Linked DNA regions of Kluyveromyces lactis. The protein of the gene in region 1 purifies or fractionates together with the protein of each later gene. This does not show direct contact. Links are inferred from orthologs where the notes say so. Each region holds a gene or a part of one and is shown on either strand. Other genes may lie near its edges. The genes, in order: SPT5 and RPB5.

Region 1 (4,525 bases):
CCCACGTACTTCCACCACCTCTAGCATCCTGATTACCCCAAGCAGATCTATTGCCGCTATTGTTGTGTTGGGATGCATTGCCCCATGCGGATCTCTCTCCTGAGTTATGCTGCGATTGATTGTTACCCCAAGTGGAACTTCCACCGGTGTTTTTAGATCGTTGTGATTTATTACCACTGCCACCCCAGGCAGAGACACCTCCCTGGTTACCACCCCAGGTAGAAGTACCTCCATAGCTTGATTTATTGCCACCGCCCCAGGCAGAAGCTGCTCCTGATTCTCCGCTTGCTGCCCAAGAAGAGGCGCCTCCATAACTAGATTTATTACCCCAAGTGGACGCACCACCCCAAGTTGATGTAGCACCTTGCCCACCCCAGGTGGAAGTGTTTCCAGCAGCTCCACCCCAGGCAGAAGCACCACCAGGGCCTTGTCCGCCCCATGTCGAAGCACCACCCCAGGATGAAGTTCCTCCGTTCTGGCCAACCGCAGGAGTTTTACCGCCATCAAATGCATTCCAACCAGGAGTCATTCCACCAGGAAGTTGTTGCGGAGTGTTCGTTGCCACCGCACCACCGGCAGCCATGTGTCTTGGTGCACTGACATAGCTTGGGCCCAATCTGGTATGTGGAGTTCTACCACGTCTACTAACAAGTTCATCGTATGTTATACCTTCACCACCTTCATGACTGAAGTAAGTAAGTTTTCTTTTGTCTATTGTAATATGCTTATTTTTGGAGTGCAATTCAATAGTAGCCTTATCTCCATTGACGTCTTTGACAATACCCAACTGCCCCTTGTATCCCGCAGAACGTATCCTAACAGTTTTGTTCAAAGCGACGTCACGGCCAACTAACCGCGTCTGCTGAGTAGTTTGTGGTGGTCCCATCTTAGACGCAATATTTGGATTTATTTTAGATAAATCCAATGCTGACGACATCAAGTTTTCTTTTGAGGCGACAGCCTCGACATTCATTGGATTAACAACGAAAACACCGGCATTTTCCGTTATTGTTTTCGATCTAATGAAAATATGTTGGTTTTGAACGTAGAGTACTTGTCCCTCTCTACGGGAACCGATCTTTTCTCTTACTACATCGCCAATTTTTATTTCTCTACCATTACCATCGACAGCAGCTACTTTCGCTCTTGCTACATTGATCTTGGCAAGAATTGAGCCTTTAGTAACAGTAGCCACTTTACCGGAGTCGTCAATAATCTTGAAAATATCATGTCCAGCCTGGATCACACATGCCACGTTTTTGGCACTTAACTCAACAATGTCATGTAGAGCGTACTCGCTTGATGTCGGAGTAGAATCCATAGATTTACTCAAGTTATTCGCAGAGATTGTCAAATTTTCTCTAGTTTGGTCAGAAACAAATGTGACTTGACCGTTCTGCACCAAAAGAACCAAACCAGCGTTACCTTCATGTTCACCAGCTATTACTGTGACATGGTCACCAAGTTCGAAAATTTTTCTTAGAGATGCAATTGGGAACTCTAATGATTTATCTGAAAAGCCCGATAGTTTAACGCTGATGACGTCTTTAGAACTTCTAGTCACCACACCTCTAGATCCACGTTGTTCCCCGGTCAACACTTCAACACGGTCACCTGGTTGAAACATAGCTTTAGAAGCTTGAGCTTTTTTCATAGTTTGAGCAATAGCTGCTAGATCGACATCACCTTCTTTACTGCCGAACCTTGATAATTCTTCCACCGTAGGTTGGATATTCTTTGTATCAAGATACTGAATCTTAAAAGATTTGAAAAGATAACCGTCAACATAATCTTCCTTCCTGTAAGTGAAGTGCCTGTCATCTCTTTTGAATAAGTTGGCTTGGTCTAACCTTAATGCCATAGTAGGGTTAAATAATTGAGGAGGAGGCCTACTAGCAAACGTTGCTCTCTTTGCCTTTCTCTGATTTGTATCTGGGTCGATTTCGTCATTTTTACCGTAGTCTAATCTGGGTACAATCTTTAATAGAGCTTCTAAGTTGTTCTGACTAATTTGATCAATGACTGCCAAATCATTCTTATAAATACCCCTTTTAATTCTAACATAAGAACCAACATCAAGTCTCACTTCATCTGACTTGGTAGGCTTTAATAGTAAAGGTAGTTCTTGCACGGGAATCAAAAGCTTTTGATTAGAATAGACATCTGGAACACCGTTGACAAATTTTTCGATAACAGATTGTTTTGGAGCTTCGATATAGATTCTTCCTGTGTAATTGTCTCTTTGGAAGATGGACAGAATCTTTAATTTTTTAGAGCCCATAGATTTATCCAAGTTAAACTTCTTATTTAGCAACTTTCTCACTAGTTCTTTCTCCTTCCCTGGTCTACAACGAACGGACCAAATAATAGCAGTATCAACACTTGGTAACATAAACCTCTGAGGTACATACCCACCTTGAGTTTGTACACGGTAATCTTTGGAAGAGTCACGACCATAACGTTTCTTGAAGTCTTCAGCGATCTTGTGCATGTCTTCATCCGCAGTTTTTTGAAGATTTTGATCTAATTCTCTATGCAGTCTGTCATCAACTCTACCACCACGATCCTCTTCGTCTTCTTCGTCACCGCGAGTAATGAAACCTTCACGAACTAGTTCTGAATCTTCTTCATCTTCTTCGTCGTCTTCGTCTTCACTGACTTCGGCTTCAATATCCAAGAATCTGTTTCTTTCACGACGTTGCTTCTTCCTATATGATTCGACATCTTCATCTTCGTCATCGTCATCGTCATTGTCATCGTCGTCATTGTCATCTTCATCATCTTCATCGTCTTTGTTTTCTTGACTGTTTTCTTGATTGTTCCCTTGATTTCCCCTAATTGGACTATCTTCAGTAGCCTCTGTCTTTGGTTTAGAATCAGTAGGAGCGTCCTTTAACTGATCGACAGATGCAGAGTTGTTTTCAGAACTCCCATCAACTTCATCGATAGTTCTTTTCTTGCCTCCAACCACATCTGTAGAATCAGACGAAGATGAAGTAGAGTTATGCTCCTTATCTTGACTCTCAACTGACCCAGAAACTGTTTCAGGTACAGAAACAGCCTCTGCTTTATCGGATTCCTCAGCAGTACCGCTCATGACGTCTTACTGACTGTTGCTTTGTATCGTGAATGCGAACTGTAATGCATACTGATCATCATTACAACTTAGCGTGGACTACCATTTTTGTATTGAAAATTGGGAAGTTTAGATTGAAATTTTTCAAGGATCACAAATAGAGGGTAACTCTCGCCTAAGTATTTCAAAAGTACTTAAGTAGCCGATGAATCAGTCTGCATCACTTCATAACGAACGGGCAGCTAGTACCTTATGTAGTCTTTAATATATAACATCAGCTCTGGCTACGTTAAGGACAATATTAACCGATGAGTCATTGCTGACCAGATAATGTAGTTATGCGGAAAAAGAATGATGTCAGTTATGACACAATTACCAGATGGAATGAGGCCAGAATGCCCACCGAGATTGAAGATGAAGTCCTATCGATATATTTAAGCTTCACCGAAGAAGGTGAATTCAAGTGGGCTGATATTTCTAGTTTTTATACGGAATTACAAATCAGTAAATCATGGTACGGATTATTAGAATTCAAGGACTTATGCTTGGATGGAATTGACGTCATAGATTTCGAAAAACTCTTGGATGTCACTTATCGACTCTTGATCTTCATGGACAACGAGAGTATAATAGATAAACAATGGGAACTACTATTAAAATATACCGGTAGATTGCAACAGTTCCCTAAGGTTGCACTAAGGAAGCACGTGATAAGTGTTAAAGATGTCCAGAAGGCTGCTGTTCAAGTGGATATGGATCAACATATTATCCTGTCAATGGTAAGTTGGGCTACGAACGGCGAGAGGGTATTTGTCACTTACCTAGACTTTGCCAAATTACTTGGTAAAATGGGTTTATTAAGATACTAGCATCATTGCAATCCACTAAATAATTCACTTCCTAAAAAACACGTCAATCTTTGGAACATTTGGAAGAATATCACTAGTAACTTAGTACAAAACTTATAAATGTAACTGGTGGCCATATCAACATAGAATTCTAGCAAAAACAAAGACCTACCCGTCTAGGCATAATATAATCCCTTTCCCCCTCTACTCGTCCGATTTAGAAATTATGCCATTTTCCATATATAGATACTGTACACGTATAAAAGGCTCACCATATGATGTATGTTTCTTCAATTCAATATTTGAAGATCGTATTGAGATTCAAGGCATTGAAACTATTCGAACATTCTAAATAATGTGCTTAGCTCTAAAGAAGTTCTTCATGTAGTTTACTTGCCATGCACCCAAAGCGACCAAAACAACGATGACAGCGATAGAAAAGTTTCTAACTCTTCTGTTGGTGGACTCGTTGGTGTCTCTTAGTCTTTCTTCTCTCCCCTTCAAGTAGTTGAATTCATCAACAATTTCGTCAGTCAATTCTTCAATCCTACGTAGTTCAACTTCCACCGGTTTCAATTTTTCACTGGCTTGAATCTTGTTC
Region 2 (2,686 bases), on another chromosome or scaffold:
TCAACGTTCATGAAGTTTGGGAGGCGGATCCCCGAGACTTTGTTCATCAGAGACTCAACTAGACCCGTGATACAAATCAAGAGTGGATGCATTCTCACGGTCAACCATTGGAAAGAGGGGTCCACAGGGGAAACTATTGCATTTTCCACATATCTCCCACCCCCTACATATACGGCAAACGACTTGATCGATAACTACCATACTTATGAATCATTAGAAAGACATCTCCCGATATGGCTTGGAAAGATTCTTTTCAAAGAGGATAAAGTCATTAAGACGTACCCAAAAATCACATTCATCATCCAGCCTTGGAAGGACGAGGCTCATTTATCGGAGGAAACGCAACAATCGCCAGAGGCTGAAAGACTAGTAGTAGAACATAAAAGATCAGGGTTCCACAAAAAATCTAAACCACCTGAATCACCCTTAATGCTACCGAAGATTAACGATAGCAATGTTAGATTAACAGCTGCAAATATGATAAAGGCAAAAAAGATCAAGACTTACATAGTGGATAGATTCGAATCAAAGACACCTGAGATGAAAAACAAAGAAGATCCAAGCGAATGGTTAGAAATCTTGTGCAAAGGAACAGTACTAGAAAACGATATCACCCTGAGTGCTATACGCACTTTATACTGGAAATCAAACACAGACATTGTTCTTGAATATAGACGTAAACCGACTTAAAATTAAGAGAGACTGTGAGACTAAGTTCTCACCCAGGCTTATCAATATATATATATATAACTAAATATAGACATATATACAAACATAGAACTACACCTGCCGCCCTTGACTCAGAGCATTCCATACCAACACAAGACAGGCACGTGACTGAAATCATGAAGGACGAGTTTGATGGTTTGGCTCTGTTTCCTTCTTTCATCGCATTGAAATTTCGAAGGTTTGTTGAAGTTTTTCTTTTTCTTTTCAGCCAAAATTTTCCAAAATTTAGAAAGCGATGAGAAACAAATCCATTAATTTGTTGATTGAAATTTAAGAAAAGATTGAAGTTAGGTAGCCGAATAGTCCTTGTACCGGTTGAAATTAAGGGGTAAGATTAGTTTGCATATCGATAATTGAGTTCTTAGTACTTGTTTGTGCATATCGATAATTGAGTTCTTAGTACTTGTTTGTGCATTTTAGAATTTAATACGAACTAATCTTCAAGCGGAAAAAGTTAGTTTCATAAGATATCAAAGGCAAGTGACGCACAATTTTTGTAACAATGGATCAAGAGCAGGAGAGAAACATTTCCAGGCTATGGAGAGCTTTTAAAACGGTGAAGGAAATGGTTAGGGACCGTGGATATTTCATTACCCAGGAGGAAATAGATTTGAGTTTAGAAGATTTTAAGGCTAAATACTGTGATTCTATGGGCAAGCCACAACGTAAGATGATGTCTTTCCAGTCCAATCCAACCGAAGAATCAATAGAAAAATTTCCTGAGATGGGTTCATTATGGGTGGAATTCTGTGATGAAGCATCTGTTGGTGTGAAGACGATGAAGAATTTTGTGGTTCATATTACGGAAAAGAACTTCCAAACTGGTATATTCATCTATCAAAGTGGTATTACTCCAAGTGCAAACAAGATTTTACCAACTGCAGCACCAGCAGTCATCGAGACTTTCCCAGAAGCATCTTTGGTTGTCAATATTACACATCACGAACTAGTCCCAAAGCATATCAGGTTAAGTGAGGCTGAAAAGAAGGAATTATTAAAAAGATATAGATTAAAGGAATCTCAATTGCCTAGAATCCAAAGAATGGACCCAGTAGCATTATACCTTGGTTTGAAAAGAGGCGAGGTTATAAAAATTATTAGAAAGTCTGAAACTTCTGGACGTTACGCAAGTTACAGAATCTGTTTATAAGAGCAATTAAAAAGAGCCATTCCCCAACCCTAAGTAAAGTAAATGCGTGTGTATAATAATAGACCAAATTAGAGCAAGAGAAACTAATAGGGCCTTAAACACACTCTTCGTATGAGAACCCATCAGGGGATATCATAATCTAATTACGATTCTTTTTTCAATTATTTAAGGAAATGATTAATCACGTTTTGAACATAGCATGTCTGAATTAAGAGAGTTCATTGATATAAGAATTCGAATTTTTAGGAAAACAGGTAAAGATCAGGAATGGCTCACAAGACGTGAACATAACACGCTATCCCTTGTTCCCTTCCACCAGGAGATATCTTTCAAATTAATTTCAATAAGAGGAGACACTTCAACACCCTCACTACCCAAGAAGGTGGCACCAACGGTGATGACCAGGGCATCGATAAGGTGTGGTCTCTGTAGCAAATCATTGATAACAATCCCACCACCTTCAACCATGATGGATTTTAATCCGAATTGAGATTTCAATTGGATGAACAAATCGTGCCAGTCCACTTTACCTGTAAAATTAGTTTGCATCACTAAATAGTCAACGTTCTCTTCTACAACTTCTGGAAGCTTTTTCACGACTACAATTGGTGCTTTACCATCACCAGAATCAAACAAAGTTTTCATCTTGGAACCCTCAAACTTCCATTTCCCGTTTGGATCTAAAATTATGGGCCTTGGAGAATGTTCAGCAAAATGTTCTGGTTTTGGCTCATCATCTGGCCACCATTTACAGTTCAAACCGGGATCATCAACCAAGACAGTACCACAACCCAACATGATACCGTC

The links.
Region 2: the proteins of SPT5 (region 1) and RPB5 purify together in Saccharomyces cerevisiae (affinity purification with mass spectrometry, with the first as the bait; 3 studies listed by BioGRID). This does not show direct contact. The link is inferred for Kluyveromyces lactis from reciprocal best matches to the Saccharomyces cerevisiae genes SPT5 and RPB5.

What each region holds. Positions count from the first base shown.
Region 1 is NC_006038.1:68,256-72,780, forward strand, and holds the start of SPT5 (transcription elongation factor SPT5), read right to left. Parts: upstream 3,098-4,525; coding exon 1-3,097. Other genes in the region: RAD33 (Rad33p), read left to right, coding at 3,415-3,945; ERV25 (Erv25p), read right to left, coding at 4,273-4,525. UniProt on the Saccharomyces cerevisiae protein: The SPT4-SPT5 complex mediates both activation and inhibition of transcription elongation, and plays a role in pre-mRNA processing.
Region 2 is NC_006042.1:1,968,347-1,971,032, forward strand, and holds RPB5 (DNA-directed RNA polymerase core subunit RPB5), read left to right. Parts: upstream 1-1,231; coding exon 1,232-1,879; downstream 1,880-2,686. Other genes in the region: DUF1 (Duf1p), read left to right, coding at 1-690; RIB7 (2,5-diamino-6-(ribosylamino)-4(3H)-pyrimidinone 5'-phosphate reductase), read right to left, coding at 2,141-2,686. UniProt on the Saccharomyces cerevisiae protein: DNA-dependent RNA polymerases catalyze the transcription of DNA into RNA using the four ribonucleoside triphosphates as substrates.